Linked DNA regions of Macaca mulatta. The protein of the gene in region 6 interacts with the protein of the main gene of each other region in a biochemical or structural test. Links are inferred from orthologs where the notes say so. Each region holds a gene or a part of one and is shown on either strand. Other genes may lie near its edges. The genes, in order: CEBPB, ERBIN, ZFYVE9, TGFBR1, TFE3, SMAD3 and MECOM.

Region 1 (3,716 bases), on a different chromosome or scaffold from region 6:
AGGGCAAAGCAAAGGGCCCTCTAACCTGAGCCTAGGGAGCAGAGGCGGGCCGGTAGTTAGAGGGCCTTGGGTCTGTGTTCAAGTCCAGGCAGGCCGTTGTCACTTTCCCATCTGTGAAACGGCAGCAGCAAAAGCATCTTCCTGGTGGGGTGAAAAAGAACCTCGGGGTCCAGGCCCACCCTGAGCACAGGGCAGGGACTTGGTAAAAACTTCTCTTTCTCTTTCCTTCTCTGTTTCCTGCATGCCACCCCCCTCCCGTGAGGCCTGGCTTAAGCCCCTCCCCAGCAGCTTCAGAAACAGAAGCTTTTTGGCCTCTGGGGCTGGCAATAGGTCTTAGGGCCCAGATGAGGGCATTTCGTTTGGGATGAATGGGGGACATGCGGCCATGTGACCTTGGTATGCCATGCCATGCTCCCTCTGGGCCTCCACTGGCACAATCCATGGGGGTCCCTTTCTCTCTGATGTGCAGCCCACAACGTAAGCCTTAGGTTTGGGAGTCTGGTGGGAGCAATGCCACCACCGCTGACAGTAGCGACACCCTTCATGGACTGCAGCTGGGAGAAGTGACTCATCCAAGGTCGCACAGTGTGGCAGGGCCCAGGTCGGATGGCGCGGCGCGGGGCAAGAGAAGACCCGGGTGTGTACAAGCCGCAAGCAGGCGGCAGGTGCGGTGGGCGGGGCTAGGGGCGGGACACCGTGGACCAGGGTCCAGCCCCCAGCGCAGCGCGATCCTGCTCCGTCCCCCCGACCCCCGGGGTCCTCATATTGGCGGTGGCTTAAGAGGGGAATCGTCACAGGCGTGGAGTCTACTCCTTTCTAGAGCCGGGGACCTGTGGAAGAGGTGGGAGTTTAGGGGGAAGGGCTACGGAGATGGGTCGCTTCTCCTGGAGCTAGAGTTGCGGGCTGGGGTCTCCAGGGTTCCGCCCGGGGAGCGGCCCCTGGTCCGCCGTCGGGGCTCTGCTCGGTCCTCCTGAAACCTCCGCCTCCTCCAGCAGGGGGCGGGCCGGGGCCGCATCTCCGGGGGAAGGCGATCAGGTCGCCCCCTCCTCCGATTCCCCCGCCTTCCAGGACAGCCTCCAGCCCAGAGGGGCGGTCTGGGGGCGGGGTCGCACCGCCCCCTCTCGCTCCCAATCCCGGGGCGGCCGGGCGGGGGTGGGCAGGGGGCGTGAGGCCGCCCCCTGCGGCCCGGGGACCCCCCCCGAAAACGCGCTCCGGGTGCCCGGTCCCTCCGCTGCGCCCTGCCGCCGTCCTCCTGGGGGTCTCGGGCGGCCGCGGCCGTGTCCTTCGCGTCCCGGCGGCGCGGCGGGAGGGGCCGGTGTGACGCAGCGGTTGCTACGGGCCGCCCTTATAAATAACCGGGCTCAGGAGAAACTTTAGCGAGTCAGAGCCGCGCACGGGACTGGGAAGGGGACCCACCCGAGGGTTCAGCCACCAGCCCCCGCACTAATAGCGGCCACCCCGGCAGCGGCGGCAGCAGCAGCGACGCAGCGGCGACAGCTCAGAGCAGGGAGGCCGCGCCACCTGCGGGCCGGCCGGAGCGGGCAGCCCCAGGCCCCCTCCCCGGGCACCCGCGTTCATGCAACGCCTGGTGGCCTGGGACCCAGCATGTCTCCCCCTGCCGCCGCCGCCTGCCTTTAAATCCATGGAAGTGGCCAACTTCTACTACGAGGCGGACTGCTTGGCTGCTGCGTACGGCGGCAAGGCGGCCCCCGCGGCGCCCCCCGCGGCCAGACCCGGGCCGCGCCCCCCAGCCGGCGAGCTGGGCAGCATCGGCGACCACGAGCGCGCCATCGACTTCAGCCCGTACCTGGAGCCGCTGGGCGCGCCGCAGGCCCCGGCGCCCGCCACGGCCACGGACACCTTCGAGGCGGCTCCGCCCGCGCCCGCCCCCGCGCCCGCCTCCTCCGGGCAGCACCACGACTTCCTCTCCGACCTCTTCTCCGACGACTACGGGGGCAAGAACTGCAAGAAGCCGGCCGAGTACGGCTACGTGAGCCTGGGGCGCCTGGGGGCCGCCAAGGGCGCGCTGCACCCCGGCTGCTTCGCGCCCCTGCACCCGCCACCCCCGCCGCCGCCGCCGCCCGCCGAGCTCAAGGCGGAGCCGGGCTTCGAGCCCGCGGACTGCAAGCGGAAGGAGGAGGCCGGGGCGCCGGGCGGCGGCGCAGGCATGGCGGCGGGCTTCCCGTACGCGCTGCGCGCTTACCTCGGCTACCAGGCGGTGCCGAGCGGCAGCAGCGGGAGCCTCTCCACGTCCTCGTCGTCCAGCCCGCCCGGCACGCCGAGCCCCGCCGACGCCAAGGCGCCCCCGGCCGCCTGCTACGCGGGGGCCGCGCCGCCGCCCTCGCAGGTCAAGAGCAAGGCCAAGAAGACAGTGGACAAGCACAGCGACGAGTACAAGATCCGGCGCGAGCGCAACAACATCGCCGTGCGCAAGAGCCGCGACAAGGCCAAGATGCGCAACCTGGAGACGCAGCACAAGGTCCTGGAGCTCACGGCCGAGAACGAGCGGCTGCAGAAGAAGGTGGAGCAGCTGTCGCGCGAGCTCAGCACCCTGCGGAACTTGTTCAAGCAGCTGCCCGAGCCCCTGCTCGCCTCCTCCGGCCACTGCTAGCGCGGCCCCCGCGCGCGTCCCCCTGCCGGCCGGGGCCGAGACTCCGGGAAGCGCCCGCGCCCGCGCCCCCGCCTCCGCCCCCGGCGGCGCCGGCAAAACTTTGGCACTGGGGCACTTGGCAGCGCGGGGAGCCCGTCGGTAATTTTAATATTTTATTATATATATATATCTATATTTTTGTCCAAACCAACCGCACATGCAGATGGGGCGCCCGCCCGTGGTGTTATTTAAAGAAGAAACGTCTATGTGTACAGATGAATGATAAACTCTCTGCCTCTCCCTCTGCCCCTCTCCAGGCGCCGGCGGGCGGGCCGGTTTCGAAGTTGATGCAATCGGTTTAAACATGGCTGAACGCGTGTGTACACGGGACTGACGCAACCCACGTGTAACTGTCAGCCGGGCCCTGAGTAATCGCTTAAAGATGTTCCTACGGGCTTGTTGCTGTTGATGTTTTGTTTTGTTTTGTTTTTTGGTCTTTTTTTTTGTATTATAAAAAATAATCTATTTCTATGAGAAAAGAGGCGTCTGTATATTTTGGGAATCTTCCGTTTCAAGCATTAAGTAAGAACACTTTTAATAAACTTTTTTTTGAGAATGGTTACAAAGCCTTTTGGGGGCAGTAATTGGCTTTTGTTTTTTTTTGCTTTATTTTGGATTTGTAGGATTTTGTTTTTGCGTTTCTGGTGTGTAGTGGGTTGTGTGTGGGGGGCTGCTGTTATTTTTGGAGGTTTTGGTGGTTGGTGGGGGTGTTGCAGCTGGTTTTTCTGCCTCCTCTGCTACACCCTCCCCCCACCCACAGGGTCTGCTTGGAGATGGGGTTCCAGCCCTGGGGGAAAGGGGAGAAGAGTAATGGGTCAGGCTTTCAGGCTAACTCAGAGCTCCTGGGCGCCGGGACCGGTGGCTGGGAACCCTGCTTGAGAAGAGATTCCGGGACCTCTGACTGGTCCCGAGTGTCAGGCTTGGGTTTGGAAGGGCTGGGAGGTCTGTGACCCCTGCCCTGTGTTTGGGGACTAGATAGGCAGGCCTGTGACTGTAGGAGGAGGGGTTCAGGTCTTGGTCCTGCTGAGCCCGAGTCAGGGCAGATGCTTTTAGTAAGTGTAGTTGG
Region 2 (4,289 bases), on a different chromosome or scaffold from region 6:
AAATCAAGGACTAAATCTAAAATTAGAGGTTTAAAGTCATTTTCAAGTGCTACAATACTGTTTTTATACAAAATTTACTAATAAATAACCATCTTCATAAAGCGATAATTCTCTATAAAGGACTTGCTCTATTAAGGTTTTGTTGCTTTTAAAGCCAAGTATAAGCCATATTAGGAAACTGAAGTTCAATGCCATTTATTTTGTTCAGTTCTTTCAGATGCCCAAGAATAAACTCTTTTGCAGCCTAATGATACGTTCCAAAATCATAAAGTATACGAGTTATGCACTTTAAATTCTTTGATAAAGCTAGTTTGACTTAACAGGAATTACTCGATGGTTCATAAATCTTAACAACAATGAAAAAAAAAATCTCCTGAGACCATGCCCTGGGGAGGAAAAAAAAAAATCAAAACTACTGTAATAAATAAAAGACTGCCTTTGGAGATGTACTTAATGAAGCTGAAGTAGCAAAGAACAAATTGTGAAATAATTTGATCCTGATCTTTAAAACCTATTTTTTCTCTTTGAACTAAAGAAAATCAACTCTCTCTTCGGGTTTCCGGTCATTACGTGAGACAGTACAGGCGATCTAAACATCAATATATATTCAGGATATACCTACCAACAGGTTACCAAATTTATTCAATATATATTCAGAACTACAGTATTGTATTTCACCTCCCTGCACCAAAAAGCTAAACAGAAAAAGACTAAAACACCACTGAAAAAAGCTTTGGGTTTGCTGCTATCAAAACTAGTCCCCATTGGTTCAGAAGTGTTCATAGCTCTGACTGGTGGAATGTCTGCCATGCTTCATGAATCCTGTCCCCACAGATGTAGGCAGAACCTACCACTATTTATGCAGAACCGACCAAAAACATTTGGGCCAACACAAAAATGTAAATACCATACTACTCAAAAAGCATAGCTTTTTATCACAATCACTGTGATTCCCTTGAAAATCGTTTCAAGCGTTTTACTTCCCTTCCCATATAGTCTGTTCTGAACTGCACAGAAGTCCTATCAAACGTCTTACAGGTTGTTGTTATTATTGTTTAATTATGTCTCTCTCTTTATTATTAGTCCTTACTCCTTTTTTCTTCGTAATGGATCAGTTACAAGAAAAGTCTAGTCGATACTTGCTTTCAATTAAACAAGTTATACAGCGCTAAACGTCTGAAAAAAAACAATTACACACAACTAAAGAAATATATTACCCTGAAAAACAACTAAGAATGGCAAGATTTTTTGGTTTCTAAAATCTAACTAAATATACTGATCATAGTTGGAAATAAAACAATAAAAACCTCTATATACGATTAACGCAAGCGCCAATATAATCGGTAGGAGTATAAACAAACGCGGCAGCCATCTCAATAACAGCAAATCACTCGCTGCAGCGACCAAACTTTCTTCTCAAACAGAAGGTACCAGGCTGAGCAACTTAATATACACTCTATACGTTCCAGAAAGCCAAAACTTCTGGCCCCTGGGAACAAAGGCACTCCTTCTTCGGATTGCTGAAAACTTTTTGTCCCACCGCATTCTTACAACCTCTTCCAAAAAATCCAAAGTCCAGATGGTGGGGCGGGGAGGGGGGAGAGGGGAGACAGGGGGGTTGCAGTTCGATTATTTAGCCTCTCAATTATTATCCGCTTCGATATGAAGAGAGGAAGATTTAGGGTAACTTGGAGAAAAGTGAAAAACACTAAAAGATCATCTCTTTTCCAAGTCACAAAGTCCCATGAACTTTGTGACTCAGAGACACTTTTCGTGAAAATTACCTTTCGGCGCGACAGCGTCTCAGGGCAGCTTTTTCAAGGCTTCGCTTGACATGATTTCCTTGCCTTCATTAGTCACTTTGGATCCAGCTGAATTTCTCTCTCGGGTGAGAGCGGATGTGGACTGGCCTCCCGCAGAAGAGTAGGTGGCTTTGGTGGGGGTTGGGGTGCGGGCTGGCTTCCTGGTCTCTAGTTTTGCAGGAGTTTCCCAGCCCCAACTAGGATCTCCGCCGAAAAAAAAAAAAACTTTTCACTCGTGACACTGCCCGGAATTGCAGTGCGAAACTCACTTCCTGCCTTGGCGAGAAGCAGAATCCAGCTCCGTCCAGGGGAACCCGGAAAACCAGCTCAACGCGCACCGGGGAGGGGGAGGGGAAGGGACAGCCGCCGGGAGCCTCGGGCTCCGGGCAACCGGCGCGCCCCGCACACCGGACGGCAACGGCACCCGGCCGGCGGGGGCGAGGACACTGCCCGGGCGCTCGGCGAGCCTCGGCTGCGCTAGGCCGCCACCGCTTCCTCTCTGCCGCCCCCAGAGCCGGGCGGCAGGGTTATTGTCTCGATAGAGCTTGCCGCGCCCTTCGTCCGCGACGCCGCTGCCGCCGCCACCCGGAGCCGGAGCCGAGGAGTCGGGCAGGCTCAATGGCGGCCCCCTGCCCGGGCCGTCCGTCGGGCCGTCCGTCCTTCCGTCCGTCCCTCCCCGCTTTCCCTACTCGCCCTCGAACCCTCTTCTCCCTCTCCCGTTTTCCCGCCGCCGTCCCTCCGCTGCCCTGCTCGTTCTCCTTCCCCAGCGGCGGTGGCTCCCCGAGACGCGCAGGGGGCGGGAGCAGGCGGCAGCTCTGTCTTCTCACGAGCTTGCGGGGCCGCGGCAGGGGCCGAGGCTGCGTCCCGCGCCGCCGCGCCACATTCACTCGGGCGAGAGACCGCGAGGGGAGGGAGGATGGAGGGAGCGGAGAGAAAGGAGGAGGAATGGGGCAGGGGCGGAGGGGAGTTACTGCCTCACAAGCCGCGGCGGCAACAGCGCCACCGCCCCGGCCGCGACGGGTGAAGAGGCTGCGCGCCGCGGCTCCGCGGCGGGGGCGGGGGCGGGGCGGTCTCCCGCCGGCTTCGCCCCAACCGCCAACAGCCGGGCAGGAGGCCGGCGCGGGCCAGTCAGCGCGCGGGGGCGGTGCGGGCCGACGTCGGCGGCGGGGGGCGGTGGGCCGGGGGCTGTGGGAGGGGCAGCCGGCGGCCGTGGGTTCCCGTGAAAGGCGAGCCGTGAGGCCCGCTCCGGCCCAGGCTACCCGAGGCCTGTCTCCCGCCCGCTCCCCGACCCCGCACTCCCCCACTTCTGAGCCCCCCAAGGTGGGGAACGCTGGCGACGCCGACCCTGCTGTCTGCTAGCGGCCCCGCGCCCAGCCAGGGAGATAGCCCACAGGCCTCCGCCGCCCCGGCCGATGGAGTTTCTTTGTACGACAGTAATCGGTGCACAGGGGTTGTTGGAGTCCAGCCCTGATTTGAAGGCAGCAGGTATCTTGCAGCTGCAGCACTCCACCTTCCTCTAATGGCACGCTCAGGTCGCAGGAAACCACAGCGGCAGCGCGGCGCAGCTTCCCACGCCCGCCCTTCGAGCTTGTTCCCCAACGGCGCAGCTCAGCCTCCTCCAAGTCCCAGCCTGACACCGGCGGGGAGACAAAGCTGGCGCTGAGAGGGGAAAAAGGGCCCGCGAAATGGCCTCAAGATCGTGCCTTTGTTAGAGGAAACATGGGTACGCTCCGATGCGACGCAGGCTTCCAACCCCAGCGGTTGGGTGGTGGTGCAGTCGTTGAATTGCACTGGCCCTAATAATTCAGCCTGGCAGGGTTTGCGTTTATTGCGGAGAGAGACTCTTAAGCATTCTGTCAACACATATGGCAAATAGAAAGCCTCAACCATAACATTGTACAGTTTTTGCAGTTCTTGCTTTAAATATGTTCACAGAAAAGACGGCCTTGTTTTACCCAGAGAAGGAGCGTATTGCGGAGCAAACCATTCGCCACCCCCATTCTCTGCTGTACTTAACTGTGTACAGTGATGATAATTAGCCTGTGGGTCCCTGAAGTCTCTGGTTCAGTTCTTCCGTCTGTATTCCAGAGATAATTATTTATTACCAAGTTTGAATAAAGAGCTATATCCCCTACAGACTTTTTTTTTTTTTTTTTTTTGGCTTGCCAATGGAAAGAGTTCGTAAATTCCACCAAGTAATTATTTATCAAAATGAGTTGACGTTAGATACAAACACTTGAAATAACGCCGAAGATATTCAAGTTATTTTATTCAGATTGGGAGCATTTTTAACTACTTGAAGAACTGCTGGAATTAATACAGGTATTAGGTTATTTAGCATAGAGCAGAAGTTGAAGATTTACAGGTAGTACTGAAGTGTTCAGATATATTCAGTGCTGAATTAGAGGTAAGAGTATTCGCTGGAAGCTAGGAAATGACAGTAGCTATGCCAGTGTTACCAAGCTGGATATCTATTTTATGTGAAAA
Region 3 (4,297 bases), on a different chromosome or scaffold from region 6:
CAAGCCTTGTTTTATTCACGTCCTCAATGGATTGGATCATGTCTGGTCACATTGGGGAGGGCAATCTGTTTTATTCAGTACACTGATTCAAATGCTAATCTCATCCAGAAACACCCTCACAGACATACCCAGAAATAGTATTTAATTTGAGTACCCCATGTCTCAGTCAAGTTGATATATAAAATTATCTGTTGTATTATTGGACTTGCCTCACAATATTGAAAAACTGTATATATGATTTGACCTTGAATCTATAGAGTTAATTTTGTTTAAGAAAATCTTTAATTAGCTAGATATTAGAGGGGTGGTTACTTTACTTTCTTTCTCATTTTGACCTTGGTTTGTATTTTTATACTTTCATACTTCTGATATGACTTAGTCCTTTATTTAATAGATATAAATCTGTTTCTTAGTGTCAGTAGCTCTTCTCATTTAGAGTATATCATAGCATGCATATTTTTCTAGTTCTCAAGACAGGGAAATCTTTTACCAGTGATTTTCATTCTTTATTCTTTATTGGGTCTTGGAAACTTGAATTTTAGGTCTTTTTCTTATTCTCTTATTTTTTATTAAGCACATCATTTTCACGTCTGATAATAGAATATTTGTAATGTCAGGAAATTTTTCTTGCTGCCTCAGTTTATCTTTAACACAGTTTATCTGTGTTCATTAAATTATCTCCAATATACTTACCTGTTCTGAAAATACTATGATTATGTGTTAGATATTTTATACTGATAATATAATATTCATAGTCTTAGTTTTATTCTGATTAGCTTCAACTACTAATCTTGTTCAAGGCTAAATTAGGCCCTTAAAGAATTTTACATTGTCTCTAAGCAGTTATAGTTGGGCTACCATAACTTAATGGATATTGTCATATTTTCACAAGAGGGTAGTAATATTTGAAGAGCCTTTGTCTTTTGCATACACCCCTGATAGGGAAGGTTAATATTGGGTTAATAGATCCATTGCTTCTAAGCAGTTGGAGGAGGACTGGAATGAAGAGACTCCATTTGGAGAAAAAAATAGTTTGGCAGTAAAAATCACAACAAGAAACTTGTGAAACTCAACTTAAGAATTCTGTATGTATTGAAAAAAAATCGCGCTAGAAGGACATTCTTGTGAAGCAGCAGTTTTCTTAGCTTTGGATTCTTGGAGGGCCCATTATAAGGCAAATTATATACTTATGAATTAACACAATTGAAGTCATTGGGTAGAAAGTGCCTGCTGTTGATGTTTCACTTTGCATTATCCATTGAAAATAAACGTGCAAAAACTCTTCTTTGTTGAAACATTTAACTTTTGGCCTTTTCAGACAATAAAATGTCTCTGTTGCTGCCTTGCATGCAAGCCAGGTCTTTGAATCCAAAGGTATAATTGTATTTACTGTTCAAGCCCCATTGCTTTTGTTTGTCTGGCTATGATAGATTTATATGAAGAAAATTAGGGTTTATTGTTTCATCAAGTGTAATGAGCAATGTGTTTTTCATTTAGGATCAAACAGAGCATACTGAATCAGCAGGACTGGCTGGTGGTGCAGCAAGCATGAGTAAGCACCGAGAAGTCTGTTCCTTATCACGTGTGTAAGGGGAAAAAGGTAAGAAAATGTTTTTATTTCTCTTAGAGATTGAACTTGAGAAACCAATGAGATCTATAGAAGATAATACTGATGCATATATGTTATTTGCTTCATTTGTAACATTGTATCTTATTAAATCAGGAGTATGATTTTCTTCAAAAAGATTTGACTTAAATTCAGAGGAAAAGGGTATTTAAAAATCACTGTTATTTTATGTCACAGTGGTCACAATGTTAATTTCCCTACCAGTGCTGGCTCCTTCGTTTTAGAGTTAGTTGAGTATAGAAAGGTAATTTCAGAAAAAAATATGACTTTGAGCAATATTTTAGCTCATGCAAGAGCTAAACAAGTAAAGCTGATTTGGGGATGGGGAATCAGAAATGTAAAGTTAATTACATTATTTTATTTTGTATTTTTAGATAAGTTATTATGTAGAGCAATAATTTCCAGCAGAAAATTGGAAGTATTCTTGTAGAGCAGGAACCCTTGACTTTTTCCTAACTAGGAGTCATGTTGTTTTTTTTCAAGTCTTAAGATTATTTAAGGGTGTGAACCCCCAGTATCTGTGTTGGAAACAAGTGCTTGGTGTAGCCAAAAGAAACCTGCACTTAAGACAGAAATTTTCTCAGCAAGGCACTTTTACTTCTGCAGAAGGGTGCTGTTCACTCCTGTTACAAATGCAGGAGCACACCGAACAAAGGAAGGAAGGAAGGGGCTTTTAACCCTAACACAGTTCCTGTTTCTGTGTCTTTCCCCTATTGACTGGAGTTGGACTGCATAATCTAAGCTGATCCTCACTGGCTAAGGCTTAAACTTTTCCAAATAAGGTAAATGTGTGATTTGTGAAGGGGCAGGGTGGGTAAAGAAGAAATGGTTAGGCTTAACAGAAGAGGGGGTAGGATTGTTTACAACTTATGACCAGGAAGTTGAGTCTTTGAAGAGGAACTCAGTTGTACCAACAATCTCCCCTCTTCTGTCTTATAGTTCTTCATCTTCAAGTTTCTTTAACAGGATCTGGCTATGTTGTTCTTCTTGATTATCTAGGTGCAAGAGCTTATCTGAGTACAGAGGGGGAGAGGTTGGGGAGGTTTTTGTGAGAGCTGCTTCTGTGAGCCTTTGGGTTAACCCACAAATACAGGGTATGATACAGCAACCCACAAGGATGAGTACACCTCTAACAATTGCAAGGAAGGTAAAGATTGAGGTCATGAGTCCTTTCCATTTTCCAGACCACCTTTCCATTAGTCCTGTAAAGGGGTCGTCTATTCCAGAGTTTTCGGCTAGTTCATTTGCTAGGATGGTAAGGCCTTGTAAGGCTTTTATGATTGTCCCGTCGGGGGCTGTATTATTAGGAATAAAATAAAACACTGGACCCTGATCATGACATAGACTTCACCTTTTTTGGCCAACACCATGTCAAGGGTTATTCTATTTTCCCAGGCCATCTGGCTGGTGGGGTCTAATTTCAGCAATTCCTTTTATGGCATCTCTGGTATAATTGATGAATTGCTGCTGATTGTAGTATATGTAATGTATCCAGTCTACATTTTTGTTTATAGTGGACTACCAGAATAATATAGACTCGAACCTGGTGGGTATTTGGTTTTGAGCTTTGAATTCATTTGGTACCCTCTGCAGGACCCCGATGCTGTCTATGTAAACTTGGGGGTCAAAGGACCCATTTATTGGGGCTTCTTTTTTTCTTCTGGTTACCTGCTTCCTGATGAAATGCCAAGGTGAAAGGGATGGCCAATTGGATCAGAGCACAAGTGCCACTCCAGTTGCTTGGCAGTGTTCCAAATATTGGTCCCCCTCTATACCACTATACATCCACTTGGGGATGGACTGGGGCTGACTGATTGGTTAGCTCTTGAAAAGGTTTAGGTCCACTGCATCCCATCAGGTTTCCAAGGAATGTCAAATTTTCCCCTTGTTGTAAGAGACACAAGGTAAAATTGGCATTGAGAGCAGGAAGTCGAATGTCCCTTGGGGGCTGTCCCATAGGGCTCCTGACTTTTGGGAAAAGTAGTGAAAGAGTGGCACATGACTTGTTTCCCCAGGCTGTGAGGTGCTGGAAGAGAGCTACCATACAGTCTTTGCCTGATGGGTTGGCCCATCTGAGTGGGAGGGGAACAATTTGGGTTTCTGGCCTGCCTGTTGCACAAGCGTAACAATCGGTTTTATTTAGGGTGTGAATGGAATATTTAATCCATTCCAGCTAGGCATTTACATCTTGATAACCGGTTTCTATGGCTAGGGTTTGCTGTAAATCCTTTACTTCTACTATAGCTACTTTGGTTTTGTCATTAGACATGAAGCGAGAAATGGTTTGATTTTTGTGGTTTTGGGAAGTGAGTAATGGAGGGAGATGGAGGAGGAGGAGCAAACCTCATTTCAAAGATGCCTGTAGGGTCTTTTGCAGTGACATCCGCTCCTAGGCCATAAAGGCGCTCTAAAGTGGGGATACGGTCGGTGGAGGTGGGGATAGGAATAGAGAGAAGTACTGGGTTGCACTGGTGGTTTTGGCAATTTGAGGGGGTGGTTCCTTTGGTGAAGTGGAGGTAGGGTTTTAGGGTGGTGCAACCCTCTAAGGAGGTCCAGCCCTGATATTTGGTGGTCAAGATAACATCTCCTCAACTATAACATAACCCCTTAAAGGCTTGTGGTCGTCGATTGCAAGGGTCCGGGGTGATACTGGTTTTTCTGCGGGTGGAG
Region 4 (3,500 bases), on a different chromosome or scaffold from region 6:
AAGGATTTATAATGAATAGAAGGGAAACAGATGGCATTTTCTGCTATTATTCACCAGAAGATGGCTTCTGCCTAGATAGGTTTGTAGAGAATTCAGTACACAATGAACTATGACAGGTAAAGGAGGCCTTAAACTAAGTTTTGTACAATGTAGTCAACTGATAATGTATGTTAGATTTTTCTTCCAAGTATGTTTTCAATAAGAGCAACACTTGTCATTTGGACATAACTTCACAATTTACCAAGCGCTTTCATGCCAACATTTTGTCTTGCTTGAACTCACAACAACCCAATGATGTGCACAAAGCAGACTCCATCACTTTCATTTTAAAGATGAAATAACTCAAGCATGAGACATTGGTTAACTGCCCAAAGCTACAGAGCTAGCAAGCAATGCAGACAAGTTTTTGCAGGGTAAGTCATAAAAAGAGGGAGAGAAGCTTTCAGAGAACAGAGAGCTATGGTCCCTCATGGATCTAGAAATATATATATATATATATATAATGGAAACAGAATTATTCTGTTCTTTTTCATGTTTATCTCTTAAAAGGTTAATGAAGATATTCTTATTCAGTAATCAACTATCACCCACCCACCAATTCCTTTAATCAATTAGGTGGGCTTATTCCACTGTGGCAAGTGGCATGAGCTGCTCTCTTTCCGGAGTGTAAGTTTAGAAACAAGACAACAGGTCTGAGGCATTAATTCCAAATGATCTGAAGCCATCCTGATTTTCTGTGACTCTGGTCCTTGATTATCACAGTCTTGAGCAGGATTACTTCTAGAATGAACAAAATCTTTTTGAAGATCTGAACTGAGAATAAATGGGAAGTCCCAGGAAAGCTCTAAAATAACCTCCGTCCACCACTCCTGCCCAAAGACTATCACACCTTCAGTACTAAGATGGCTCCATCTAAGTCCGAACTCTCATTGTCTTCCTTACACAACTGTTTCAGGAATCCCTAAGCTTGCCTTCTGATCTGAGCTCCAGTGCAAGCCTGTATGTGTCCTAGTAGTCAAAGAGAGAGTTCTCTTATTGAATACATACGGCCAAATTCTACAGAAGAATAATTCAGGTAATAAAATCAGTTTCTTAAATGAATAGATATGCATACATAACAATATATATTCATTTCCTTAAAATAAATAGACATTTGTCATTATATGAGCTTTCTGCAACATTAGATGTGATTTTATGCTCAATTTCTGCTTTAATATTCCTTTAATATCACTCAGTTATAAAATTAGTGAATTTTTTTTTTGAGATGGAGTCTCACTCTATTGCCCAGGCTGGAGTGCAGTGGCACGATCTCAGCTAATTGCAACCTCCACCTCCCAGGTTCAGGCGAGTCTCCTGCCTCAGCCTCCCGAGTAGCTGGGACTACAGGCGCATGCCACTATGCCCGGCTAATTTTTTTGTATTCTTAGTAGAGATGGGGTTTCACCAAAATTAGTGAAATTTTCACTATATACGCTTTCCAAATTTTCACTTTATTCATGAATTTAGCCCTTATTTAAAGACGACTCATACTTTTCAAAGGATAGTATATCTCATTTAAAAGTCTTAACAAACCACTTGAAGTGTTTTTATCAGCAGTATGGGTTCCATATTTTTGATGAGGAAACAGAAGCCCAAAGAGGAAACATGTTTTAACCAAGGTTATACAGCCAATCAGCAACAAAACTTGCCTTGGAACCTAGATCTATTTATCCTTAGCCAAGTGTCAAATTCTAAAAACACAGGGGATAGGAGTGTTCCTCTCTTAATACTTTTCCAAACCATATACAAAAAAAAGTAGAAGATAACGCCCCTTCAGTTTAAACATGAAGCACTGCTATGCCAAAATCCACCTTGGGATGACTCTGACAATTAGCTCATCTACTTCTGATGCCACAAATATCAACAAATAGAACTGGGAAAAGCAAATCTCATTAGGGGCCAAAACTACATTAAATAAGAAGGTGATTAGACATTTTTCTGAAGTGAGAAAATGACGTAAGAGTTCATTAGTTTAATTTTAAAAAACCAGGCCTATACAAAAGACAATTTCATATAATGTTTAAAAAGCAAATAACCTTCACAATTCTGAATAAATTTTTATCATGCCTGTTTTCAAATATAAACATCAGGCTGCTAAACAATCCTGAATAGAACGGGTTAGTTGCAGATCATTTGAACATCTTTGAACTTCGGTTTCATCCATATGAGAATAATTGTTCTTATCCTTTCTACCTCACAGTGATGAAAAGCAAATTAGATCATACAAGTGAGAACGCTTTGAAATTTATACCACCGGAGCTGACTGACTTGCTTTATCAGTTAAAGTAAGTTCCAATCTATTTTAAACCAGCCACAGTCATATACACATCAAGCTTAAAGATTTTTATTAGTTTCAAACCTGGAATATTATTTATATTATCTCACATTCTAACAAGTTGGCTTATTAGCAAACTAATAAAATAAGTATCACTTAATTTTAAAAAGACGTCTTAGGAAAAAGGAGAAACAATTACATTACCTGAGCCAGAACCTGATGTTGTCATATCATAAATTAAGTCTTTCAACGTAGTACCCTCTGAAATAAAAGGACGATCTAATGAAGGGTCCTCTTCATTTGGCACTCGATGGTGAATGACAGTGCGGTTGTGGCAGATATACACCATCAACATGAGTGAGATGCAGACAAAGCACACTGGTCCAGCAATGACAGCTGCCAGTTCCACGGGACCAAGGCCAGGTGATGACTTTACTGAAAAAGGGCCTTGAGTGAAATAAACATCAACAACAACAAAAACACTGTAGGTGGCAACCCCCATTTTCCTAATCCTACACAATTGCTGCAGCTGGCCACTGCCACCACATAGCCAAAGAGCCTCATTACAGCAGTTTATAGGGCTCAAACCCAGAACAAGTGAATCATTCAGTCTTCTCCTACTAGGCCTCCTTTCATGCACACCAGCTCTGTCAGCACCCACTTACTCCTTCTGTACTCTTCAGCCATCATTACAAGGCCAGCTGCTACCAATATCATAGTACCTTCCCCACTTATCACATCAGGTCAGTAATACCAATAACTTGTAACAATACCCATTAACGTCTCCTTAAAAATCATATATATTTTTAAAAGTGTGTTTGACTTGTCTTCTTGTTCCAAGGCCAGTACATGCTCATAGCAGGAAAAACAAACAAAAATATCAAAACAAACAAACAAACACACACATACATCTTCATCACTCCCAAACAACTCACATTTTAGTATTTATATCTCCACCAATTTTTTTTTTTTTTTTTTTGAGACAGAGTTTCACTCTTGTTGCCCAGGTTGGAGTATAGTGGTATGATGTTGGCTCACTGCAACCTCCGCCTCCCGGGTTCAAGCAGTTCTCCTGCCTGAGCCTCTCAGGTAGCTGGGATTACAGGCATGTGCCACCATACCTGGTTAATTTTTGTATCTTAGTAGAGACAGGTTTCACCATGTTGCTCAAGGCTAGTCTCGAACT
Region 5 (3,983 bases), on a different chromosome or scaffold from region 6:
CCTCCTTTCCCCTCCCCACTGTGTTACTCATAGTCCCTTAAGAGTCAGAATAATAAGAACGCCTGCATCCCAGCCCCCACACTGTAACAACCTAGGTTTGAGGAAAACAGAATTTAGGAATAACAATTCACTTTATAGAAGGATTCCTGACTTCCTATCAGAGTTCTCCCAGCCCCCATACCCACCTACTTTTTTTTTTTTTTTTTTTTTAGACAAAGTCTTGCTCTGTCGCCAGGCTGGAATACAGTGGTGTGATCTCGGCTCACTGCAACCTCTGCCCCTTGGGTTCAAGTGATTCTCGTGCCTCAGCCTCCCGAGTAGCTGGGATTACAGGCACACATCACCACCTCCAGCTAATTTTTGTATTTTTAGTAGAGACAGGGTTCCACCATGTTGGCCAGGATGGTCTCGATCTCCTGACCTCATGATCCGCCTGCCTCGGCCTCCCAAAGTGCTGGGATTACAGGCGTGAGCCACTGCGCCCGGCCAACCCCCTAATATTTTCTTTACAGCTGAATTTGAGCCCAGGTATATGTGTATGTACACACACACACACACACAGAGCAAGTAGGGGCACCCCTCAGCATAACAGTCCCTTGTAACACAGACTGAATGCATCACAAAGAGAACCGGGAATAATTCACTTGACATAAAGTCAAGTGAAATTTGTGAAAACCCATTTCACAAATGAGTTTCTCCCAGCCCCAGTTAGAGTTCATGGGATGCCAACACATGCCCAAATATAAAATAGAAATATCAAAGGCTCCCCTCACTCCAACAGACTGGATTTACAAGAGGGAGAATTTGGGTGGTTGATCCACTTTATACAAGCATTCTTTTCTTAGCCGGAGGAGCTTGCCCAGCCTTCTGTTTTTTTGGATAGATCAAAACACACACACACCTCCAACACCAATACCCACTGGCATACAAAATAAGAAGCCATATACACCCCTCCCTTTAACTATGTCCACTACTGCGATGATCTAGGTTGTTACAGAGGAATTAGAAGATGGTGAATCAATATACAGAAAGGCTCTGCTCAGCCCCAGAGAGCAAGGGACAGTTAACACACACGTGGATGAATATGCATCCTTCAATTTAGCCAAACATTTAGAATGCTGAGAGATTGCTGGTGACTTCACTTGACAAGAATCCTCTCCCCTCCCCAAGGATCTGTCTTCCTTCCTCTCCTCACCCTCAGATGGAGCCCTAAAACCACCCAGGAAGTGGGGAAGAGGAAGCTCGGGGGAGCCACTGAGCTCAGCACAATCCCAGGCACAAAGGAGGCAAAGAGCCCCGTCACCACCAAGGCTCACACACCCATTGCACAGAAGTTGGAAGAGATGGGCACTGGGGTGATCAGGGAGGGCTGGGGCTCCAAAGCCCATTGATAAAAGTAAGGATGAGAAGAGGCCAGAGGGGATCCACCCAGGCAGGGATGGTGCAATCTGTACTCGTTCCAGCTCTATGGACAGATTACCCCCAGAAGCTCAGAGATCGAAAAGAAGATAAAAAGAAAAGGGGTGTGGGGCTAGGTAGTGGGAAGGGCTGAGAGGCTAGAACGAGTAGCAGCATGAACAAGAGCCTCCTCTGGGTTCCCAAACAAGGTCTGAGGCCTTCTCTGAGCTAAGAGGTAACAAACATCATCGCCCTCTGTCTGGCTGTCTGTCTCCCATTCAGGCCCTTAACAGGTGTGGGAAGAGGGCTTTTCCACTATCCTTGGGATCTGCCCCAGCTGGGTGGGCGGGCAGGGGGGAAAGGATTATTCAGGCCAAGTCTTGCTGAATGTTGTTGCTTCTCTTGTTCATTCACACGCACTCACAAGGCTGGTCCCAGGCAGCATATCTGAGATACCTCCAAATCCCTCCAGATTCATGTTATCCCCAAACACAGCAACCAGTCACTGAGAGGCACCAAGCTCCCAGGACAGCACTTGTGTCCCTCAGGACCCCTTCTCCCACACTGAGGGAAAAAGATTCCAGGATTCCCTTAAAACCAGTGCCTCACCTGACAGTGTCCCCTCAAATTCATTCCCCTCATGTCCAACTGAAAACCCCCGAATTCAGCCTCTAATCAGAGTCCCAGTCTGCCAAGTTCAGCTATCTCAGACCAGTTTCTGGATACTCCAGAATAGGCCCCTCTAGACACAGTCAAGGGCTCCCCAAACCTGACCCAGACCCCGTTTAATGCACTCCCACGACTCCTTTAATAAAGCCACGATCCAAGCAGGCCACTGCCGGATTCCTTAGGTGCCCCCCCAAGACGGGCGCCCCGACGTCCTCCAAGGCTAGGCCGAGGGCCTCCAATCCCAGTCCGGGGCCCCCGCTGCCCCCCAGATCAGGCCCCTGGGAGCCCCAGTCGGCACTCCCGGCCCCAGGCGGCACCGCACCTGAGCAGCTGAGCCGAGTCGGCCGGCCTGCGCTCCTCCAACAGCACGAACACGGCTCGAGGGCCCTCCGCGCTGGCCTCTACGCCATCCCGAGGTGGCTCGGCCGCATGAGACATGACGCCCGGCCCCGGGCGAGCCCTGCCAGGCCGGTCGGGCCTCGGCCCGGTCCCCCTAACAAAATAAGAGTCCCCCTCCCCCCAGCTCGCCACCGCCTCCTCCTCCGCTAAGCCATGGAGCTAGCACTGCGCGGGCGGGCGGCGTCGGGGAGATGGGATGGGCCGTGAGTCATCCCCCGCCCAGAAGGGACCGACGCCCCCCCCAACCTAACCCCGGACGACCGCCCTCCTCCCCTCGTCTTCTTCCCCCTCCTCCCTCCTCCCTCCTCCCAGGGATGGGGAAACTCCACAGGAAGTGACCGCACTGGGGATGGACTGCCCGTCTGGCCACGACCCATTAGCCAGGCGGCCAATCGCGGAACGGCGATTTGAGGGCCCGCCCTAAGCGACGCCTCCGACGCGAAGGAAAAACGCGATTCGGCCCGCCCTCCTTCCGAGAAGAGGCACCCAGACCACGCCCTCAGGGGCAGCGACAAATAGGCGAGGGGTGATTTGGTTGAGCCACGCCTCTATGTTTGCGTCGGTTTCGGAGCCACGCCCCCTCTTCTCAAATTATCCCTCTGCAAGATAATATTATTAAGCCGCTCCTTGGGTCCTCTGCGCCTGCGCATCGATGGCCAGTCGGCGCACGGAGGGGCTCCTGGCCAACTTTTAGTTGCGGAACTGCGCCCTCTCTCGGCCAATATTTGTAATATCTGAGCCCTAGACCGCGCTCCAACCTCGATCTAGCTGTGCTCTCTCAGCCAAAGCCATAACTATGAGGCAGAGGCAGCTACATTCCCTGGAGATGCGGACCAGAAACCCGGCCCTTTCGGTATCCTCAGTCCAACCGCCCAGCTGGTCTTCCGGGAGTACTCTGCCTGTTCCATGCCATCGAGAGCGGTTGTTGTACTATGTTCGTTGCGCTGCGCAACATGTGCTTAATAAATTCTTGACGGGTGGATGAATCTGGTCCCTTCGGTGAATGACGACTTCTGGAATCACAAAGATCCAGGTTTGAACAGGGAAGGGGACCTTCCCTCTCCCAGCCTCAGCTTTCCTGGCCTGTTAAATGGGAGTCAAAATACCTTTCTGGCAGGGTTGTTCTACGGTATGAAAGGTGCTAGCAGGTTGTTTGGCATACAAGAAGTTTCCCAAAATTAGTTGATTCACTCATTTGTTCACTTATTCAACATTCACTGAGCGCTTCTGTATGCCAGACGCATGCAATCCGGCTTGCACACGGCGGAGGGTCTCACCCATATCCTCAGGTGCACATAGCTCACAAAACACCCAGACCCACAGCCTTCCCTTCCTCTTTCTTTCTTTTTTTTTTTTTTCCAGGCTTAATTCACTTTATTTTTCTTGTATAAAAACCCTATGTTGTAGCCACAGCTGGAGCCTGGGTCCGCTGCACGGAGACTCTGGTGTGGGTCTTGACAAGGTGGTCAGTGAATTCCTGATAGGGAGACTTGGTAAATACAGTCTCCTTCCAGAGG
Region 6 (3,500 bases):
GCCCTCTAGAATACATCTGGCAATATCCACAGCCTTCTTTTATTGCCACAATTTGAGAGGGTGGTATGGATGTATACTGCTAGCACCTAGTGGGCAGGGGTCAGAATGCTGGTAAACATCCTACAATCTACACACGCTCCCTCCCACCCACCTACCCAACAAAGAATTATCTGGCCCCAAATGTCAGTAGTGCTGAAGTTGAAAAACCTGACCTAGGGTGTCCTAACCCTCCAGCTGACTTCCTGGGCGTGTGTGGAGTGCAGGGGTGTTACTGGCCTGCCCCTTCTCTGTTCGTGGTAGCATTCTCCTTGCTTTTAGAAGGGATCATGTGCCTAGACCCCATAAGGGGATCAGGGACTCTTTGTCCTGCAGGCAACCAGACCCCTTCCTGTGGGCAGAACAGCTTCTGACTTTTCTCTCTTGGGCTTTACACACTTTCAGAAGGTCTAATGAGCGGGGGTGCCCCCGGTGGTTTCCCCCTCCTAGACGTTGCCTGGTATCCATTGAGCAGGGTTCTCAGGCCAGGGCGACGGCACGGGGAGCCTCTCCTGTTCCCCCCTCAACAGAGCCCTGCGCTGAGGGTTAAAGTGAGGGAAGAGAGATGTCAGCCTGGGCCCTGGGACCTCATGGTCGAGTTGGACAGTCAGGATGCTCACATAGAGGCACACCCTTAGTCACTGCGTGGCTCCAGGTATATTTAAGAGCCAGAGGGACTTCAGAGCCAGGCTGAAGCTTTGAGATGGAAGAGTGAGAATGAGCAGGGGACTCCCTGATTCTTCAGCAGATGGATGGGATTCAGGTAGGCATCAAGCAGAGCGTGGCAGGCCAAGGGCTCGTGCCCAGCAGTCAGTGCAGCACAGAGAAGCAGCTGCAAGTGGTTGGCCCAGGGCGCAGGGCAGTCCTGGTCCAGAGGCTGTGGCATCGGTGTGAGTGGGAATTCCGAGGGCCCGGCCAAGGGCTGAGAGTATGGACCTGGAGATGCTGCAGAGGCGTGCAGTAGGAGGGCACAGCGCCAGGGCCGCTGGGCTGGGGCAAGAGGAGGGCAAGGAGGCCCCAGGAAATGGAAGGCTGGGATCCATTTCCAGTGTAAGGAGAAGCTGCCATTTACTCTTCTGAGAAAGAGAACCAGCCCCTCGCAGGATGGCAGTTTTGCTTTGAGGAGCCCCATATGGAGACTACACAGACAACTGGGACAAATCCAGATTTTCTTTCAGATGGGTTTGTGTCCCAGCCACCCCAGCAGCCGGCATGTAGATAAGTGTGGAAAATGGTTTCTGTGATAAGAGGCAAGGCTCCAGGCTCAGTCTGCGGACGATCCTGGTGTGTCCACTGCGCTGACACGGGGCCCTATTGGGAGCCCACTCGGCTGCTGCAGGCTTGGAAGCTGCTGCTCCACAGGCTGGGAGTTTGCCCCCAGGGCTGTGCAGAGCCAAAACCTGAAAGCCCTTTTAGGGGCAGGGATTAATGGTGGTTACTGTAGGAACCTTGCAAGAGAGGCTGAGAGGTGACTGTGCGGGAGGTGTGGACTGCCCCACAGTGGACACACTGCAGTGGCTGTCCCAGGTTCATCCAGGTACTGGGTGGCCCCTGGTCCTCTTCAGGTTTGGCCCAGCCCCTGCTTGAAGACTCCTTCCATCCAGTCAAGGCCAAGCAGGCGGGGCAGGGCCTCTATGAGCTTAAAAAAAAAAAAAAGAAATCAATGGCCCTTTACACACACAGTGTGGCAAGGCTGACGGAATCTCCTCCGGACACCTGAGCATCTTGTTCTGGTGGGTGCTGCCAGTTTTATACGATAAAAGGCACCAGGTGGGGAGACTATTAATCCCTCTGAAATGTGGGGAAATGGTTCTCCAGAGCGTCCATGGGACCCCATCGAGGCAGCATGGGGCTTGGGGCACCCACTGACCCAGTAGCCCGCCCTGTGTCCACAGACCTGCAGCCAGTTACCTACTGCGAGCCGGCCTTCTGGTGCTCCATCTCCTACTACGAGCTGAACCAGCGTGTCGGGGAGACGTTCCACGCCTCGCAGCCATCCATGACTGTGGACGGCTTCACCGACCCCTCCAATTCGGAGCGCTTCTGCCTCGGGCTGCTCTCCAACGTCAACAGGAATGCAGCAGTGGAGCTGACGCGGAGACACATCGGTATGGGGTGGCTCCATTCCCCGCCCCCACCCTGCCCCTGCCACTCTATCGCGCCCCCAGCCCCAGGCCCGAACACACAGCCTCTGCAGGGAACCTTGCCTCCATCCTTAGCTGTGCTCTGCCTCCTGCTGGGCATGGGGGAAGACTCACCGCCCCAGCAAGGCCCCCACATTCCCTGTTGCCCTGTTTAGGGGCCAGACAGGTAGTGTTCAGGCCACTTAATCATTCCCACTCAAAGATATAATCTCAGAAAACCTGGAAGCCACAGAGGAAAATACTTAAGGGATCGAGAAGGGAATGTCTATGAGAAAGGCAACATATGAAATCTTTTTTTTTTTTTTGAGACAGAGTTTCACTCTATCCAGGCTGGAGTGCAATGGCACAATCTCAGCTCACTGCAACCTCTGCCTCCCGGGTTCAAGCGATTCTCCTGCCTCAGCCTCTCAAGTAGCTGGGATTGCAGGCACCCAACCACCACGCCCGGCTAATTTTTATATTTTTAGTAGAGATGGGGTTTCTCCATGTTGGTCAGGCTGGTCTCCAACTCTTGACCTCAGGTGATCCACCCGCCTCGGCCTCCCAAAGTGCTGGGATTAGAGGCGTGAGCCACCAAGCCCGGCTGAAATCCTGTTAATAAAAAGAGTTTGAAAGTGCAGATGGATAGGTTGATAAGTAGGCAGTCGTCGTTGGAAGAGTGATCTTTTCTTATTTTTATGTATCATTATTCTAGACAATTTAGAAAAGGTAGAAAAGAATTGTCCACTATCCAAACACCACTACTGTGAACCTTCTGCCTTCGAGCCCGCAGAACATAAGTAAAAGATGACTCTGTGAGTTTAAGGAAGATGAAGCTGTGTTACGTATCGCTTGGTTTGCTTATGAAGTTATCATGCTTAGAGGATTTTACCATCCAGAACACAACTGTGAGAACTTAGAAGGGCTGTGGAGAGATGGCAGAGTGACGTTTTCTCAGACCTCGTCCTGGAGCCCCAAGGGTTGGCGAAGGGTTCCTGGGGCAAATTCAGGAGCTGGGCAGGTTAGCAAAGGGAAGCCTGGCCCCACGTGAACCAGGGCACCTCTGCATTCGCTTGCTTTATATCTCGGGCTCTCACAGAAGCCTTCGTTTGAAGAGAGGATTGATTCTGTAGTGAAGAGAAGAAAAGTTTGGAGGCCACAGGCCTAGGTCTGTGCTGTCATTTTCTAGGAGAGGGGCCTGATGTCTAGGGGTGGGGAAGGGTAGGGAATGGCTCTCAGAGACCTCATTGTCAGTGACAGACAGCCCCCACTACCAGACCCGTTCTCCCCATTTTGCTTTTTGTCTTTTACTTCAAAAAAGATACTTATTCTGGGTGGCAT
Region 7 (3,500 bases), on a different chromosome or scaffold from region 6:
TAACAACACCTCATCTTCAACTTCTTCATCATCCAGTAAGTCTGAATTTTGACTGGTCACCAAAGCCTTTTCATCTTTAAAATGACTGCCATTCATTCTTTCAAAAGCATTAAAAAAAAAAGTCCAATTGTTGGTTTCACTTTTAAAATCGTAATTTGTTTCTTTATTATGTCTTCCCAACAACAGTTTAGATTTCCAACACTTACACAGGAAATTTTTTATTGTTTATGCTCTATGTCAACCATGAAAAAATAATGTGACCTCACAAATGGGAAGATAAAGAAAAAAATAATTGTATGATTGTTCAGATTATAAATGAAGCCTCTGGCAGAACCCAAGAAACAATCTTGGTCTCCTATTTCTTATCAGACTTTGCTTGATAATTGACATTTCTATATATATCATATAAAAAGGCACACAAATACATTCTCAGCACAATTTACCTAATTACCATATAAGTACCCGCCATTTAAAATAATAGATTCCTGGAAAACTCATATCACTCATGGGCAGTAGCTTCAATACATATGCCTAAAGTGAATCTAAAAGTCCAAAGACAATCTTAAAGTAGCTGCCAAGAAACAACTAGATGACATTTATATTGTATTCCACTTAGCCACTCTATCCAAATTTGGAAGTAATTGAGAGCTCACTTATTTGTACTATTTTCAAATTATTTTTTACAGTCTGAATGTGAAATAGTTCCTTGTTTCTCAGGGAAACACCAGGGTGGAAAAAGCTCAGGTATCAACAATTCACCCCCATCACTTTCCCACATAACAAAAATGAGTATAATTTAATATTCAGATTTCTCAGCATTAAAAAATAAATAAAACAATCTTGGATGTGACAAAAACAGATAGTAAGAATCCATTTGACCAGAAAAAGTCATATCATTATTAAGTTTTTAATATAAATAATCTCTTAACCTCTTTTATCAAAGAATGGTGAAAATTTATACACAGACATAAATTAGTTTCCAAATACACTGCCAACTTGCTTGCATGAGTGGATTAAAATTTTTATTTAAAAAAAAATGAAAGAAAAAAATAAAAGAACAAAAGAGTACATGGGTGAAAATCAAAAGTAACAAAAGCCAACATAATTAAGAAAATCTATTTGTTAATTAAGTTTTCAAATGTGGCAATTTGCAGGGAATGAATTATTCATCAAAAGTAGCCTGACAGGAGTTCAGGGGAAAAACTTAGATGACTCAACCTTCTTACTTCTGTGCTGTTTAGACATGTTGAAGCCAGATGTTGCAGCTATACAGGTTCACAAATCGCCAATTAAAGGCTAGAAAATTTGAATAGGCATCTCAGAACCCAAATGGTGTGTTTTGCTCAACGGTTCTTACTTGCATCAAGTAAATATCATTATCAAAGTGTAAGATTGTTACTGTTTCTTGCTTGTTCTTGCTACTTTGTCCTTCTGATCACCTACTTCCCCTCTCCCTTTTACAGACAGACAGACAGACAGAAACACACACACAAATGGGCGAGTAAAGGGAAAGATACATCCAACTGCACACTGGTGTGGTTATCAGATTTCTGAGAGACTGGAAGGGTCTTTTTTCTTGTTTTTCTTAGACACACTTTTACACAGGTTGAAGAACAGAAGTGGTCTTTTTTTGGTTATTTTAGTAAAAAATGTTTATTTGATGCTTGCCTTGAAGAAATTACATAAAATAATTAAGTTTGACTTTTAATAACATCAAAAATAGAGGACACTAACCCAAAAATACTTGCATGACGAAAAATAATGGAACTTTCAACTAATGTCATGTTTTTTTTAAAATTTACAATGCAGCATCCTAATTTAATAGGTCACTATATAGTTATGTCCAGAAAAGTCTACTTCTCAACAACAGATATTTAATATAGCTTATAGATAAGAAAAATTAAATCCAGTAGTTTTGGTGAAATTGTGTTTCATTAACTTCATATGCAATGTGAAGTGCTGGGTAACTGTTAAGTATTATCATTAACAGCATTAAAAGCTTTTTAAAATGAATTAAGCTATTCATGCTTAATGTTGATGATGACAAAAGGAGCCAGTGCATCAGGTCGGTAAAAACAAGGATGGTCATACCCACTGAAATAAACAGACCAGAATTAAATGAGTAGTCACTTAAGAGGACATAAAGTAGCAATAGAATCTTAAGAAGACTAAAAAAGTTTCTATGTAAAATATATTTGGGGGAAACTCCATGGGTATTTCATATATAAATGCATACATACATATGTACTATAATATGTATATTACATATATACAGAATATACATATACGTATATAGGTATAATACATATATAGAGAGAATCATATATTACCTGTAATATATATAAATTTATAATGTATAATAGTAATCAGTATTGATCAGTGATTCAACTGAATCCCTGTGATGGCCTTTTCTTCTACTTCTGAAATTTTGATAACAGATTCTATTCAGCTATCAATTAGGTAAATCCTGGTAAAATTATGGGCTCTGGAACCAGACAGCTAAGGTTGAATCCCATTGACTACTTATGTGACCTCTGACACAACAGTTTAAGCTTCAATGTCTCCGTTCCTTCACTGCTAAAATTACAGTGGCTGTCTCACAGGGTTATCATGAAATTAAATTAATTAATACATGTAAAATGCTTGGAAGCACATGTGGTATTTAATATGTACTAAATATATACCAGTCTTTGGTGACTGAAGTAATAGTTGTGCCACAAAAGTGAGCATACAAAGTATATTTTAAAACATATTCATTTCAGTCGTCACAGAGTTTAAAGAGTAAAAAACAGCTTTACCTCTCCTCCACATTCCTGGGAGACTGACTGCTGTGGTTGCTGTTCCCAATGAAATTTCGAATTTCTGTGAAGTAAGCATCTTCTTTGTCATCCAGAATCGCACCTGTACTTTCCAGTTCAGAATGAGGCGACGATGTTGCTGTACCTGCGTGGAGCAGAAAGCCTTTTATAACAAAGATTATTGTTTATCTAGCTACTTATTTGGAAACTCACTCCTTATGAATTTGATCAGTGTTATTTCTTCAAACATGCCCTATGAATATTAATAACTTTAGGAGGTCTTCAGCTTCCTTGGCCATGAAACGCGAGACTCACAATACCTGTATCACAGGATTGATGTAAGGCTTACATAAACTTAATCAACTATAAACACTTTGTATGTGGTTGAGCTTTACACCAACATTAGCTTCCTGTTGTTTATCTTGTCTACAAAGTATCTATAGTATAATAGTTCATCACAATAGTCTATATGACAAAAACAAGAGGTTAAAACATCCCCTCACCTAAAAGAGGTTATAATCTAACATCCTCTCACCTAAAAGAGGTCAACAAGTATTAACGTTGACGTGTTACACGTTTAACTATTTTTCCTAAAATAACTTTGATAAGAAAATTATAGTTGTCTGATCTAAGGGTACACACAGTTAGACAGTGTGGTCAGTTCTGCATATTGGATTATACTTCTGTACCTAAAATCTAATA

Evidence for each region.
Region 1: the proteins of SMAD3 (region 6) and CEBPB form a complex in vitro, tested with the Homo sapiens proteins (2 studies listed by BioGRID and IntAct). The link is inferred for Macaca mulatta from reciprocal best matches to the Homo sapiens genes SMAD3 and CEBPB.
Region 2: the proteins of SMAD3 (region 6) and ERBIN form a complex in vitro, tested with the Homo sapiens proteins (2 studies listed by BioGRID). The link is inferred for Macaca mulatta from reciprocal best matches to the Homo sapiens genes SMAD3 and ERBIN.
Region 3: the proteins of SMAD3 (region 6) and ZFYVE9 form a complex in vitro, tested with the Homo sapiens proteins (2 studies listed by BioGRID and IntAct, with this or other methods). The link is inferred for Macaca mulatta from reciprocal best matches to the Homo sapiens genes SMAD3 and ZFYVE9.
Region 4: the proteins of SMAD3 (region 6) and TGFBR1 form a complex in vitro, tested with the Homo sapiens proteins (2 studies listed by BioGRID, with this or other methods). The link is inferred for Macaca mulatta from reciprocal best matches to the Homo sapiens genes SMAD3 and TGFBR1.
Region 5: the proteins of SMAD3 (region 6) and TFE3 form a complex in vitro, tested with the Homo sapiens proteins (2 studies listed by BioGRID). The link is inferred for Macaca mulatta from reciprocal best matches to the Homo sapiens genes SMAD3 and TFE3.
Region 7: the proteins of SMAD3 (region 6) and MECOM form a complex in vitro, tested with the Homo sapiens proteins (2 studies listed by BioGRID). The link is inferred for Macaca mulatta from reciprocal best matches to the Homo sapiens genes SMAD3 and MECOM.

Annotation. Positions count from the first base shown.
Region 1 is NC_133415.1:103,041,722-103,045,437, forward strand, and holds CEBPB (CCAAT/enhancer-binding protein beta), read left to right. Parts: upstream 1-1,375; 5' UTR 1,376-1,576; coding exon 1,577-2,611; 3' UTR 2,612-3,216; downstream 3,217-3,716. UniProt on the Homo sapiens protein: Important transcription factor regulating the expression of genes involved in immune and inflammatory responses. Also plays a significant role in adipogenesis, as well as in the gluconeogenic pathway, liver regeneration, and hematopoiesis.
Region 2 is NC_133411.1:74,026,755-74,031,043, reverse strand, and holds the start of ERBIN (erbin), read right to left. Parts: upstream 2,801-4,289; 5' UTR 1,785-2,800; intron 1-1,784. UniProt on the Homo sapiens protein: Acts as an adapter for the receptor ERBB2, in epithelia. By binding the unphosphorylated 'Tyr-1248' of receptor ERBB2, it may contribute to stabilize this unphosphorylated state.
Region 3 is NC_133406.1:188,440,105-188,444,401, reverse strand, and holds the start of ZFYVE9 (zinc finger FYVE domain-containing protein 9), read left to right. Parts: upstream 1-1,497; 5' UTR 1,498-1,600; intron 1,601-4,297. UniProt on the Homo sapiens protein: Early endosomal protein that functions to recruit SMAD2/SMAD3 to intracellular membranes and to the TGF-beta receptor.
Region 4 is NC_133420.1:59,272,219-59,275,718, forward strand, and holds part of TGFBR1 (TGF-beta receptor type-1), read right to left. Parts: intron 2,762-3,500; coding exon 2,519-2,761; intron 1-2,518. UniProt on the Homo sapiens protein: Transmembrane serine/threonine kinase forming with the TGF-beta type II serine/threonine kinase receptor, TGFBR2, the non-promiscuous receptor for the TGF-beta cytokines TGFB1, TGFB2 and TGFB3.
Region 5 is NC_133426.1:49,118,436-49,122,418, forward strand, and holds the start of TFE3 (transcription factor E3), read right to left. Parts: upstream 2,801-3,983; 5' UTR 2,506-2,800; coding exon 2,390-2,505; intron 1-2,389. UniProt on the Homo sapiens protein: Transcription factor that acts as a master regulator of lysosomal biogenesis and immune response.
Region 6 is NC_133412.1:44,704,587-44,708,086, forward strand, and holds part of SMAD3 (mothers against decapentaplegic homolog 3), read left to right. Parts: intron 1-1,931; coding exon 1,932-2,144; intron 2,145-3,500. UniProt on the Homo sapiens protein: Receptor-regulated SMAD (R-SMAD) that is an intracellular signal transducer and transcriptional modulator activated by TGF-beta (transforming growth factor) and activin type 1 receptor kinases.
Region 7 is NC_133407.1:80,795,392-80,798,891, forward strand, and holds part of MECOM (histone-lysine N-methyltransferase MECOM), read right to left. Parts: intron 2,944-3,500; coding exon 2,799-2,943; intron 98-2,798; coding exon 1-97.